Linked DNA regions of Saccharomyces cerevisiae S288C. The protein of the gene in region 1 binds, or shares a complex with, the protein of each later gene. Each region holds a gene or a part of one and is shown on either strand. Other genes may lie near its edges. The genes, in order: RPN11 and RPN6. A codon is read from its position in the direction of its gene.

Region 1 (8,104 bases):
ATATAATAATATCGTATGGACCATCTCGCTTCTCAAACTATTACTTACAGACCCTTTTGTTAAGTGGGCTCTATGGATTGGCTATTGACTATACTTATACATTTAGTGAAATGGATGCGGTGCATTTGGCAATAGGGCTAGCAAGCTTGAAGCTATTTAAGATTGATAGCTCAACGCGCTTGACCAAAAAACCCAAAAGGGATATCAGGTTCGCAAACATACTAGCTAATTATACCAAGTCCTTTAGGTATTCAGATCCTAGAGTTGCTGTCGAATATTTGGTTTTAATAACTCTAAATGAAGGACCTACCGATGTCGAGTTATGCCATGAGGCGTTGAGGGAGCTAGTATTGGAAACTAAGGAATTTACTGTTCTTTTGGGTAAAATTGGACGCGATGGAGCTAGAATTCCGGGGGTGATCGAAGAAAGACAACCTTTATTACACGTTCGTGATGAAAAGGAGTTTTTGCATACAATTACAGAACAAGCAGCAAGAAGGGCAGACGAAGACGGCAGAATATATGATAGTATATTACTGTACCAGCTTGCTGAAGAATATGACATAGTTATTACCCTCGTCAATAGTTTATTAAGTGATACACTTAGTGCGTCAGATTTAGATCAACCATTGGTTGGACCTGATGACAATAGCGAGACGAATCCTGTCTTGTTGGCTAGGAGGATGGCGTCCATATATTTTGATAATGCTGGTATATCGAGACAGATTCATGTTAAAAACAAAGAAATTTGTATGCTGCTCTTAAATATCTCCTCTATCAGGGAGCTATATTTCAATAAACAATGGCAAGAAACACTATCCCAAATGGAGTTATTGGATTTACTTCCTTTCTCAGACGAGCTATCTGCTAGAAAGAAAGCACAAGATTTCTCTAATTTAGATGACAACATTGTGAAAAATATTCCAAATTTGTTGATTATCACTCTAAGCTGTATATCGAACATGATTCATATCTTGAACGAAAGTAAGTATCAATCGTCCACAAAAGGTCAACAAATTGATTCCTTAAAAAATGTTGCGAGACAATGTATGATTTATGCTGGTATGATTCAATACAGAATGCCAAGGGAAACGTACAGCACTTTAATTAATATAGACGTCTCTCTATGATTTTTTTAAATATTGTATATTTTTGTTTATATCTATATATCAGTATGCGCGCATACTTAGTAAAAGTATAAAAAGCCATTTGCTGCTTCATCGAATATTTTGGCTTTCGTTGTACAAAGCCTCAGTCCTTCTTTTCCTGCTGTTTTCGCCTGTATTCAGAATAATCTGGTTGGATTTCATAAGCATTGGGGCTATATGACCTTTTTTTCTCAAGTTTACGATGGCGCCTTTCCAATCTTCTTTGTCTACGTTCGTTAAAGTCAAGATCCTTCTCATTCTCAGATTCTGAAGAAGAGGATCCGGAAGAAGAGGATCCATCATCATCTGAATGATGGTTGCACTCTTCTTCATCCTCATTTTGTGGATGAAAAATGCAGCATATCTTGGTCTTTTTTTTATTCATGTTTTCATTGTCAATCACATTTTCTTCCCATCTTACATTGTGCCTTGTAGGCATTGCCTCCTGGCTTCTTGGAGGATCTTGAGTTGCTCGAAGCTGCAAAACTGCGGGAACCTCTTCCACACTCACCGTTCGGGACCCTACGGTCTGTTGTTGTTCTGATCCCATAGCCATTTGATTTCCACTCATCCTTATAGACTTAATTGAAGACTTAGCTCGCAACTCCTGGCAGTTATAAGCTCTTGGGACCCTTGACTCGAATTGTTTCTAAATGATAAATACGGCCCCTTGTTTATACTGAAACGCACGTCGCTGATGATTTCGGACCTCCAAGGTGGCAAATTCACAAGAAAAGCCTTTAAGCTAAGAAACGGTTTATGACCAGTATTAATATTGAGAAAGAAAAATAGCAGGTGATAACACAATTAAGAGGACTTAACAAGAAAGACGAGACATAATGGAACGACTACAGAGATTGATGATGAATAGTAAGGTGGGGTCCGCGGACACCGGCCGTGACGATACGAAAGAAACTGTTTATATTTCTTCGATTGCGCTTTTAAAGATGCTAAAGCATGGTAGAGCTGGTGTTCCCATGGAAGTCATGGGGTTGATGTTAGGTGAGTTTGTCGATGATTATACGGTTAACGTTGTGGACGTGTTTGCGATGCCTCAATCGGGTACCGGAGTTTCTGTTGAGGCTGTCGATGATGTTTTCCAAGCGAAGATGATGGACATGTTAAAACAAACGGGCAGAGACCAAATGGTCGTTGGCTGGTACCACTCTCATCCAGGGTTTGGCTGTTGGCTATCTTCTGTTGATGTTAATACTCAAAAATCTTTTGAACAACTAAACAGCAGAGCTGTTGCTGTCGTTGTTGACCCTATTCAATCCGTTAAGGGAAAAGTTGTCATCGATGCTTTTAGATTGATTGACACGGGCGCATTGATAAATAACTTAGAGCCTAGACAAACAACCTCCAACACAGGCTTATTGAACAAGGCCAACATTCAAGCCTTAATTCACGGTCTGAATAGGCATTACTATTCTTTAAATATTGATTATCATAAAACCGCGAAGGAAACCAAGATGTTAATGAACTTACATAAAGAACAGTGGCAATCAGGTCTTAAGATGTACGATTATGAAGAAAAAGAAGAATCAAATTTGGCTGCTACAAAGAGTATGGTTAAGATAGCCGAACAGTACTCTAAGAGAATAGAAGAGGAAAAGGAATTAACCGAAGAAGAACTTAAGACAAGATACGTTGGTAGGCAAGATCCAAAGAAGCACCTTTCCGAAACAGCAGATGAGACACTAGAGAACAATATTGTTTCTGTGCTGACGGCGGGTGTTAATTCAGTGGCAATTAAATAAACAAATTTTATAAAGTCATTATGCATTAAATAACTAGAAAGCCCACTACATATATATTATATTGTATTTTTCTAAAAATTCTAATGAAGTAGTTAATGGAATGAATGGGAAAGAGAAAACGCGTTAGGAGGGAAAAGGCTCCTTAAATAACAGTAAAAATGAAATGGCTACTGGTAGTCCCAGTGCCAATTTTTTTTTTTACTTTCTTTTCTTTCACTCTTGCTTTTCCCATACTTGTATAAACGTTTCCTTCAAAAATAAAAGCTCGGCTTCTCTCTCTGTCGTATTTATGCCATCTATTTCTATCCATTTTTCACTTTTGTTATCATACAGCTGAGTAATCCAATGGCTTTTTTCATCACCATTAAATGCGTTTCCATCTGTGGATGGTTGTTTAATGACCACATGGACCACATTTGCTTTTAAGCGATACTTGACGTGCAAAATTTCAAGTTCACTGGAAAATTCCACCAACGTTTGGTTTCTATTTTTGACAGGATGATCACTGTTACGGTCAAACCTATTGAAATGAAATATTAAAAACTGCGGTAATCGCGTTAGTTCAAAAACGGTGCTAGTAGAGGAGCTTCTTGACTTAGTAAATTTAGTCAATAATTTAGTGATATTTATTTGTGGGAGATCATCAACGCTGTTGCCATCTTCAAAGGGTGAAAACTCCGGCAAATCGAGAGTCAGAACCCAAAATGGTTTGACAATGACTTTTCCTGTAACAGACTCACTGGCCTCAGGCTTATTTTCAACTTTTGCTATCTTTACTTTGCCTTTACAAGAATGGTTTAAAATTGACTTTAAGTCGTTCGAGGACGAGCAAATTTTATTGAATAGCCACAAAAGGAAGAGACGCGGGTCTATAGGATTTAAATTTAAACCTTCTCTAACTTTCAAATAGGATACAAAATCGTCAACTGAAAGATGATGTTTGAATAGTTTAGGGGACCAAATTTTCTTTACACATATGGATAACCTTTTGATAAATTCCCCTTGATTATCAAAATGATTCAGTAGGAAGTGGTCCCGCACTGGAACCATGTGCGATATCAAAAGCAATACACTATGCGCATAGTCATAAGTTGCCGCATTGGTGAACCCTATAAATCCATTCAGATATGTGCGATTGCTCAAATCAAAACACTGTCTCGGAAAATCTTCTAGATCTTTTGGACAATAAGTCGGATAAGCTGCAAATTTTATGCTGTTCAACAATTGAACCTCACCGTCATGTAAAATTTGGACATTTTGCGGCAACATGTAAAACTTCAAACTTGTCAAATTCAAGAAGACGTGATGGTTTTCATCAATTGAATGTATGAAAGCAGGACTCTTTTCATGTCTCCCCTGATAATAATGTCCACACACGAGGCAACAATATACATTCAAAGGGGACAGAGTAATGCAGCAAATTTTCTCAGAATCGAAATCTAGTTTTTCTCTTACTACAGTCTCAAGATAGGCATAGTTTGGTTCCTGAGACTTTATCTTTTTTACTGCCTCCTGTTTTAACTCATCTTCTGAATGTCTCCTTTTGTTATCAACCTCCATTATAAACAGCGCTTTAGGTTAACGCCCACTAAATGATGAACCATGAAGAGCATGGTTAGATTGCTGCCAATTTTTTTTCCTATTTCGTCATTTTTTTATCAAGATTTTCCAGTTTTTTTTTTTTTTTTGGCATTGCTTACTATACGCGAGGGAGGTTCAATTGACACTTTCCGCTACGGCGATTCTTCAGAAACTGTGTCATCTTTTTTCCAGGTCGAGCTGTAGGAAAACCTGGGAAATATAGGTATATACCTGATCTGTTGTTGGAGTGATGTGCCTTGAACCAATCTCTCTTGTTGTTTTCGGATCCCTGGTGTTTTTCTTTGGCTTGGTGAAGTATTTCAAACGTGGAGAACGGCAAAGAACAAGAGGAATTTTACAGCCAGAGTACAAAGATAAGTATTATTACAGTAAAGAAAAAGGGGAAGAAATGGGCGAGGTAGCAAACGTAAATGAAATTCCGGTCAAGATAAGAAATCATAAGTATCCTGCGAAAGAACATAACTTGAGGGTTAAAGATTTGTTGTTAAATCGCAATCCGAAGCTATCAAAGATATCCACAGCATTTTTTATTGCTGGTGAAGAATTAGAGGGAAACAAGTATTGTGACACCAACAAAGATTTTAGACAGAATAGATATTTTTATCATTTGTCAGGTGTTGATATACCTGCTTCGGCGATATTGTTTAACTGTAGCACAGATAAGCTGACATTGTTTTTGCCAAACATCGATGAAGAAGATGTCATATGGAGCGGTATGCCTTTGAGTTTGGATGAGGCAATGAGAGTGTTTGACATTGATGAGGCCTTGTACATATCTGATCTGGGGAAAAAATTTAAAGAATTGCAAGACTTCGCTATCTTTACAACCGATTTGGACAATGTTCATGACGAGAATATTGCAAGATCACTAATTCCTTCAGACCCTAACTTCTTTTATGCTATGGATGAAACTAGAGCAATTAAGGATTGGTATGAAATTGAAAGCATCAGAAAAGCTTGTCAGATTTCAGACAAGAGCCATTTGGCCGTTATGTCCGCGTTGCCCATCGAACTGAACGAGTTACAAATACAAGCTGAATTTGAATACCATGCAACCCGTCAAGGTGGTCGTTCTTTGGGCTATGACCCCATTTGTTGTTCTGGACCGGCATGTGGCACTTTACATTACGTCAAGAATTCAGAAGATATCAAAGGTAAACATTCCATCTTAATTGATGCAGGTGCAGAATGGAGACAATATACAAGTGATATCACCAGATGTTTCCCAACTTCAGGCAAGTTTACTGCGGAACATCGTGAAGTTTACGAAACCGTTCTTGACATGCAAAACCAAGCAATGGAAAGGATTAAACCTGGTGCTAAATGGGACGATTTACATGCACTGACACACAAGGTTCTTATTAAACATTTCTTAAGTATGGGTATTTTCAAGAAAGAGTTTTCTGAGGACGAAATCTTTAAAAGAAGAGCTTCTTGCGCTTTTTATCCCCATGGACTAGGGCATATGTTGGGGCTTGATGTACACGACGTTGGTGGTAATCCAAACTATGACGACCCAGATCCAATGTTTAGATATTTAAGAATCCGCCGTCCTTTGAAAGAAAATATGGTTATCACTAATGAACCAGGTTGCTACTTTAATCAATTTTTGATCAAAGAATTTTTGGAAAAGCACCCCGAAAGATTGGAAGTTGTCGATATGAGCGTATTGAAAAGATACATGTATGTCGGTGGTGTTAGAATTGAAGATGATATCCTTGTTACCAAAGATGGTTACGAGAACTTAACTGGTATTACTTCTGACCCTGATGAAATTGAAAAAATCGTTCAAAAAGGTTTGAAGAAACCCCGTTCAGGTTTCCACGTAATCGTTTAGGTATTAACTTTTTTTTACTCGCTTCTAGAAGTTTAGTATATTCTTTTGTACACAGAATTGTATATTTTTTTTATAATCTTGGATTCACCATTTAACTAGATTTGGAAATATAAGGAATGGCACTGAAAAAATTAAGGACCAACCCCGAAGAGCAAAAAATGAATGCGAATTCTGTGGATCGAACACAGGACCTCCAGATAACTTGACCGAAGTTTTTTCTTCAGTCTGGCGCTCTCCCAACTGAGCTAAATCCGCTTCTATTTATGAAAAATTCATTGTTACAGGAACTATAGGACTATAATAACTAGCTGCTAACACCTTTAAATGTGACTTTTCTCATAAGGAAATCTAGCGATTCAGAATTCGAGAATTTTGCAGATTGCAAAGTTTTCTTTTTACCATAATATTTGAGAATGTTGTAAAACTTGAGATAATTATTCGGATGTCATTGTTGATTGAAGATAGCATTCCTATGAGTCGCCCTCGAGGACTTGGATCGAAAAATCTACATAATATTAGTAATTACTATTATTGTTGGAATTGGATAAACCGTCGTCCACCTATTTGAGAAATAGGTAATTATTATATGAGTTATTTGGTTCCTTTTTGTTAAAGTAATAATTTGAAATGCCATCCATTTGGTAATATTCATGTTATTGGCATATTATCATATGCGGTTCAGGAAGATGACATAAAAGTTGAGAAACAGTTATCAACCCTAATGGAAGCTGAAATGCAAGATTGATAATGTAATAGCATAATGAAACATATAAAACGGAATGGGGAATAATCGTAATATTATTATGTAGAACTACCGATTCCATTTTGAGGATTCCTACATCCTCGAGGAGACTTCTAGCATATTCTGTGTACATAATATTATGGTCTTGATCAACAATGCAATCCCAACAGTTATCAAATTATTCAGAAAATTGATCACATTTTCGATAAATCTATTATGAAAGTAAAATTTTGACTCATACCTAAGTTCTCGTTATTCGTTAATCTTATGAACTCATTAACCTTGGCGTTTCAGCATCCGCTATGATTACTAGTGCTTAAACCTTGTTATTCATGCCTCATAATTGATGCCATCTTCTAACCTCGAGCGTGATAAAATTTTTGTAATATGAACACCAATCGGCGGAAGATCATCCCAAAGCCACATATGATGGTGCCTTATAACATTAATAACAACTTCAACTGCTGCATACCGATAATATCTTGACGATTATGCATTCGTGTCCTGATAGCTAATGCCATGAAACAATTCTTTTCAATCGCACTTGCACCTTCGTGAAATAGAAGGGTTATCTGGGCTTATCAGACTTGTCCACAGTTTACATATAATTTTTTTTCTGTATTAAATTTTGTGAGCTTTCTTTTTACTCAAACGAACTGTGTTATTTTTCGTTCATTAAATGCGTACCTTTAAGCATCATCAAGTATTGCTCTTCGGGAAAAATGAAGTAACCTTGTTAGGTTAATTTCACTAGTACTATACATATTTTATCCTGTATCATACCAGAGGATCATTCTAGCCACAATGGTCGATACGCATAAACTAGCAGACGACGTTCTTCAGCTATTGGATAACCGTATCGAAGATAATTATAGGGTTTGTGTTATCCTAGTCGGTTCTCCAGGCTCCGGTAAGTCTACTATTGCGGAAGAACTTTGTCAAATTATAAATGAAAAATATCACACATTTTTGTCAGAGCATCCAAATGTTATTGAGGTTAATGATAGGTTGAAAC
Region 2 (5,626 bases), on another chromosome or scaffold:
GTGTCTTTGAAGGTTAGGTTACAAATATCGCAGTAAAATCCGAACTTCTTTCCCCTCTTGAAAGACGATAAGCTCTCTGTATTTGCTGTTAGTTTCCTTTTATTTAGGTCTTTTAGCGAGCCCTTGATTAAATGATCGTAATTTGTATATTTGGATTTTAAAGCTTGTAATTCAATCGGTGTTAGCGTAGCCTTTAAGGATCGATCGTCATAGCCGCTTCTAGCCTGCTCAGCATACTCCTCTCTATCCCAAGTTCTTCTGCCAAAATTCGACATTAGCTTTCTCGAATTTTTGTCAGCTAAGGCTTGTAGGAACTTCTGGTTTTGATGAACTTTCGCATCAACTGTTTTCTATTTAGCGGCGCATTCGATTAAACTTCTTCCTTTCTTAGGAGAAAAAAAAGAAAAATCATACTTATGTATTTTCTGCATTTTATAAGTTTATTTAGGAATTCTTACTCTGGTACTTGTGAGTATACATACATATATATACATGTAAACCTAATACAAGACACTTGCCTTTTCAAATAGTTGATCGACGACTTTATTTAGTTGCCCGACTAATTCCAATGCAGAGTCGTACGTGGCATCCTGATTCGGAGTTTCGTAAACGTAAAGCCAACCATTACCTTGATCCAGAACACCGTAGAATATCTTATCTAGTATCATTTGGGAGAGCTTTCCTTCAACTTGTTGAGTATCCAGACCGATTATTTTGGAAATGTGGGATATTTCCACACATTCAAATGGCTCAATAATCTTACACAAATTGGACTCTAATAACGTGTCGTATAATGCATTGAAATGGGATCTTGTTAGTTCATCGCCCATTAGTTCCTTCTCGTATTGCTTTAGCGCCGTGTTGAAGTCTAAAAGCGATCTGTTGTTATAAGCCTCAGCGACAGCTTTCATGGCATCAATGCCTCGGGACTGGTACGTTTCCTTTGTGTATTTTGCGTTTAGGATGTTTTTTACGTCATCAATAAGGTTCAGCATGATCTTAGACAATAGCATGTATTTCAACACTTGACATGCCTTTTCGTAGGAATTATGCGTAGTCAAATTGTGGTAGCTTTCAAAACTTTCGAAGAAATACGAAAATGCAGTTTTGTAGTCTTTATCTTCACAGTGCAGGATACCACTCATCAAGTCCAGCTCCGCAACTGTTTGTGTAGGACAGTATATGGAGTTAGCGGCCGTCCTTGCTGCAGTCAACGAGGCCTTGGACTTGGCTAGATTCCTCAGTTTATGGTAAACTTTACTTTCCAATAGATGTACATCAACCAAAGAGGGCTTGTCGTCCAGCTTTTTGAACTCCCTCAAAAGATCGTTAATCAATGCTAATGAGTCCTTGTACTGTTTCTTTTGATAATGTAAGGTGGCCAATTTGATCGAGAGTGAATGCTTCAAAAACACCCTTTTTTCTCTCTTGGCAAATTCGATGCTTTTCTCGCACACAAAGATCTGATCGTCCAAGGAGTCCGGCACTTGCTCGAATTTTTCAATCAACGTTTTCAATACCTTTACCGTTTTGGATTTGGCAAATTGCATCATATACTCCGTAGAATGAGGAATAAACTCGCGCAATTTGTCCTTTGCACCCATAGTCACGTATAACTGTCCTAATTCCAATATGCTTGTCTCCTGTTCATTTCTACGCTTGTCATCCACACTGGCACCGGCAGCGGCGCTGCTCTGTGAGCTGTCTTTATCCAGCAGGCTCAAATAGACTTGTTCTGCCTCATTATACTGTTTTTCATTAACCAGTCTCCTGGCCTCTTCTAATTTCGAACCTGGCAGAGACATGAAGTTCCTCGTTTATAGATTAATCACCAATTGTCCTCTTTCAGCGCTTCTGTTAGTTGGCCTTATTTAACGGATCTTTGCTTCAATTACGCTTTCTACCAACATTTGCCACCCTTGGAACCAGAAGAGAATATACATCATTCGGGGTTGCCCTGCCCATTTATATCGTATATTGTGATGATATACCTTTTTTTTTTTTTTCGCTGCGTTTTTTTTCTCGACACGTGTCGAAGAAGAGTTTGGCGTTTCTAAGCAGATCTTGATTATTTTCGAGCAGCAAAACAAGACAAACAGGTGCATTGTTAAAGCGAGGTAGTATCAGAAGAGCCTATCAAGAAACAGCTAACAGCTACAAGCACGGTCATGTCGGAAGAGAAAACGTACAAACGTGTAGAGCAGGATGATCCCGTGCCCGAACTGGATATCAAGCAGGGCCCCGTAAGACCCTTTATTGTTACCGATCCGAGTGCCGAATTGGCCTCGTTACGAACCATGGTCACTCTTAAAGAGAAGCTGTTAGTGGCCTGTCTTGCTGTCTTTACAGCGGTCATTAGATTGCATGGCTTGGCATGGCCTGACAGCGTGGTGTTTGATGAAGTACATTTCGGTGGGTTTGCCTCGCAATACATTAGGGGGACTTACTTCATGGATGTGCATCCTCCTCTTGCAAAGATGTTGTATGCTGGTGTGGCATCGCTTGGTGGGTTCCAGGGTGATTTTGACTTCGAAAATATTGGTGACAGCTTTCCATCTACGACGCCATACGTGTTGATGAGATTTTTCTCTGCTTCTTTGGGGGCTCTTACTGTTATTTTGATGTACATGACTTTACGTTATTCTGGTGTTCGTATGTGGGTTGCTTTGATGAGCGCTATCTGCTTTGCCGTTGAAAACTCGTACGTCACTATTTCTCGTTACATTCTGTTGGACGCCCCATTGATGTTTTTCATTGCAGCTGCAGTCTACTCTTTCAAGAAATACGAAATGTACCCTGCCAACTCGCTCAATGCTTACAAGTCCTTGCTTGCTACTGGTATTGCTCTTGGTATGGCATCTTCATCCAAATGGGTTGGTCTTTTCACGGTTACATGGGTGGGTCTTTTATGTATCTGGAGACTATGGTTCATGATTGGGGATTTGACTAAGTCTTCCAAGTCCATCTTCAAAGTAGCATTTGCCAAATTGGCCTTCTTGTTGGGTGTGCCTTTTGCCCTTTATCTGGTCTTCTTTTATATCCACTTCCAATCATTAACTTTGGACGGGGATGGCGCAAGCTTCTTTTCGCCTGAATTTAGATCTACACTAAAGAACAATAAGATCCCCCAAAATGTCGTTGCTGATGTCGGCATTGGCTCCATTATCAGCTTGCGTCATCTCTCTACCATGGGCGGTTATTTGCATTCTCATTCACACAATTATCCAGCTGGTTCGGAACAACAACAAAGCACTTTATATCCTCACATGGATGCCAATAACGATTGGTTGTTGGAACTTTACAACGCACCCGGCGAATCTTTAACAACATTCCAAAACCTAACCGATGGTACCAAGGTCAGACTATTCCACACTGTTACAAGATGTAGATTACACTCTCATGACCATAAGCCACCCGTTTCAGAAAGCAGCGACTGGCAGAAGGAGGTTTCTTGTTATGGTTACAGCGGATTCGACGGTGATGCTAATGATGACTGGGTTGTTGAGATTGATAAAAAGAATTCTGCTCCTGGAGTTGCCCAAGAACGGGTCATAGCTTTGGACACAAAGTTTAGATTGAGACATGCTATGACAGGCTGTTATTTGTTTTCCCACGAAGTCAAGTTGCCAGCTTGGGGGTTCGAACAACAAGAAGTTACCTGTGCCTCCTCCGGTAGACATGATTTAACATTGTGGTACGTTGAGAACAACAGTAACCCATTGTTACCAGAAGATACCAAGCGTATTTCCTATAAACCTGCAAGCTTCATTTCTAAATTTATTGAATCCCATAAAAAGATGTGGCATATCAATAAAAATTTGGTCGAACCTCATGTTTATGAATCACAACCAACTTCATGGCCATTCTTGCTACGTGGTATAAGTTACTGGGGTGAAAATAACAGAAACGTCTATCTATTAGGTAATGCGATCGTATGGTGGGCTGTCACCGCTTTCATCGGTATTTTCGGATTGATTGTTATCACTGAGCTGTTCTCGTGGCAGTTAGGTAAACCAATTTTGAAGGACTCCAAGGTTGTTAACTTCCACGTTCAGGTTATTCACTACTTATTGGGTTTTGCCGTCCATTATGCTCCATCTTTCTTAATGCAACGTCAAATGTTTTTGCATCACTACTTACCTGCTTATTATTTCGGTATTCTTGCCCTTGGCCACGCCTTGGACATAATAGTTTCTTATGTTTTCCGCAGCAAGAGACAAATGGGCTACGCGGTAGTGATCACTTTCCTTGCTGCTTCTGTGTATTTCTTCAAGAGCTTCAGTCCAATTATTTACGGTACACCATGGACTCAAGAATTGTGTCAAAAATCGCAGTGGTTGTCTGGTTGGGACTACAATTGTAACACATACTTTTCTTCATTAGAAGAGTACAAAAACCAAACCTTGACTAAACGTGAATCTCAACCTGCCGCCACTAGTACAGTTGAAGAAATCACTATAGAAGGGGACGGTCCGTCGTATGAAGATCTCATGAACGAGGATGGCAAGAAAATCTTTAAAGACACAGAAGGTAATGAACTAGATCCAGAAGTTGTCAAAAAAATGTTGGAAGAGGAGGGAGCTAACATTTTAAAAGTAGAAAAAAGGGCTGTTTTGGAATAAATTTCCCAGTACTCTCCACATTTTTATGTAAAGTCTTCTATAAGCTCTCGAGCGTATAATTAAAAACGAAAATAGACAAAAAAAACATCATGAATAAAAAAAATGTCTTGAAGCTGACTATATTGTCCATCTGCGTTTAGAGACACGTATTCTATTTCGCTCAAATAAGTATGATCTGCAAGTAGTTTCAGTGGTATTATCATTTCGCACCGTTTTTTTTCCAAGAACTCGTTTACGTGCCGCGAAAAGTCTATCGAATAGGCATTCGAGAACAATAGAAAAGGAACAGAAGCGTAGTACATATTATGCATAGACCCGTTTCTTTTCTTCTTTTTCGAAAATATTCTTATTGATTTAACAATTAAGCAGGTGTGTAAGATCATAACTGCTTTAAAGATGAATAAAGAGCATTTGCTGAAGGTGGATCCCATCCCCGATGTGACTATTAAACGCGGCCCTTTGAGGTCTTTTCTCATAACAAAACCCTGTGATAATTTGAGTTCATTACGAACAGTTACTTCATCTAAGGAAAAGCTTCTAGTTGGCTGTTTGCTGATATTTACTGCCATCGTAAGGCTACACAATATCTCCCTGCCAAATAGTGTTGTTTTTGGTGAAAATGAAGTTGGTACATTTGTTTCTCAATACGTGAACAACATATTCTTCACCGATGTTCATCCTCCTTTAGTGGCAATGCTATATGCAACCGTGTCCTCTGTTTTTGGTTATAAAGGGCTTTTCAATTATGGGAACATTGGTACTGAATACACGGCAAACGTTCCATACGTCGCGATGAGGTTCTTTTCTGCTACTTTGGGCATCGTGTCCGTTTTGGTATTATACTTAACGTTACGAGTTTCTGGCGTGAAAATTGCGGTAGCTGCCATTTGTGCAGTATGTTTTGCAATTGAAAACTCCTTTGTAACGTTGTCTCGTTTCACCTTGATAGAGGGACCCTTTGTTTTTTTCATGGCATGTGCAGTTTATTTCTTTAGAAGATCGGA

Evidence for each region.
Region 2: the proteins of RPN11 (region 1) and RPN6 are in contact, whole or in part, in a cryo-EM structure (PDB 3J47), measured with the Saccharomyces cerevisiae proteins. Residues at the interface, in NP_116659.1 of Saccharomyces cerevisiae: Tyr251 (codon at 2,738), Ile255 (codon at 2,750), Glu258 (codon at 2,759), Lys259 (codon at 2,762), Thr262 (codon at 2,771), Glu265 (codon at 2,780), Leu266 (codon at 2,783), Arg269 (codon at 2,792); in NP_010186.1 of Saccharomyces cerevisiae: Thr408 (codon at 584), Ser411 (codon at 575), Glu414 (codon at 566), Leu415 (codon at 563), Gln418 (codon at 554), Leu419 (codon at 551), Lys421 (codon at 545), Val422 (codon at 542), Val423 (codon at 539), Asp424 (codon at 536), Gln425 (codon at 533), Leu426 (codon at 530).

What each region holds. Positions count from the first base shown.
Region 1 is NC_001138.5:151,406-159,509, forward strand, and holds RPN11 (proteasome regulatory particle lid subunit RPN11), read left to right. Parts: upstream 1-1,987; coding exon 1,988-2,908; downstream 2,909-8,104. Other genes in the region: linker nucleoporin NIC96, read left to right, coding at 1-1,130; type 1 protein phosphatase-activating protein YPI1, read right to left, coding at 1,252-1,719; mRNA splicing protein SAD1, read right to left, coding at 3,122-4,468; YFR006W (putative Xaa-Pro dipeptidase), read left to right, coding at 4,740-6,347; YFH7 (Yfh7p), read left to right, coding at 7,894-8,104. UniProt on the Saccharomyces cerevisiae protein: Component of the lid subcomplex of the 26S proteasome, a multiprotein complex involved in the ATP-dependent degradation of ubiquitinated proteins.
Region 2 is NC_001136.10:284,891-290,516, forward strand, and holds RPN6 (proteasome regulatory particle lid subunit RPN6), read right to left. Parts: upstream 1,806-5,626; coding exon 501-1,805; downstream 1-500. Other genes in the region: U4/U6-U5 snRNP complex subunit SNU23, read right to left, coding at 1-275; dolichyl-phosphate-mannose-protein mannosyltransferase PMT1, read left to right, coding at 2,169-4,622; putative dolichyl-phosphate-mannose-protein mannosyltransferase PMT5, read left to right, coding at 5,019-5,626. UniProt on the Saccharomyces cerevisiae protein: Component of the lid subcomplex of the 26S proteasome, a multiprotein complex involved in the ATP-dependent degradation of ubiquitinated proteins. In the complex, RPN6 is required for proteasome assembly.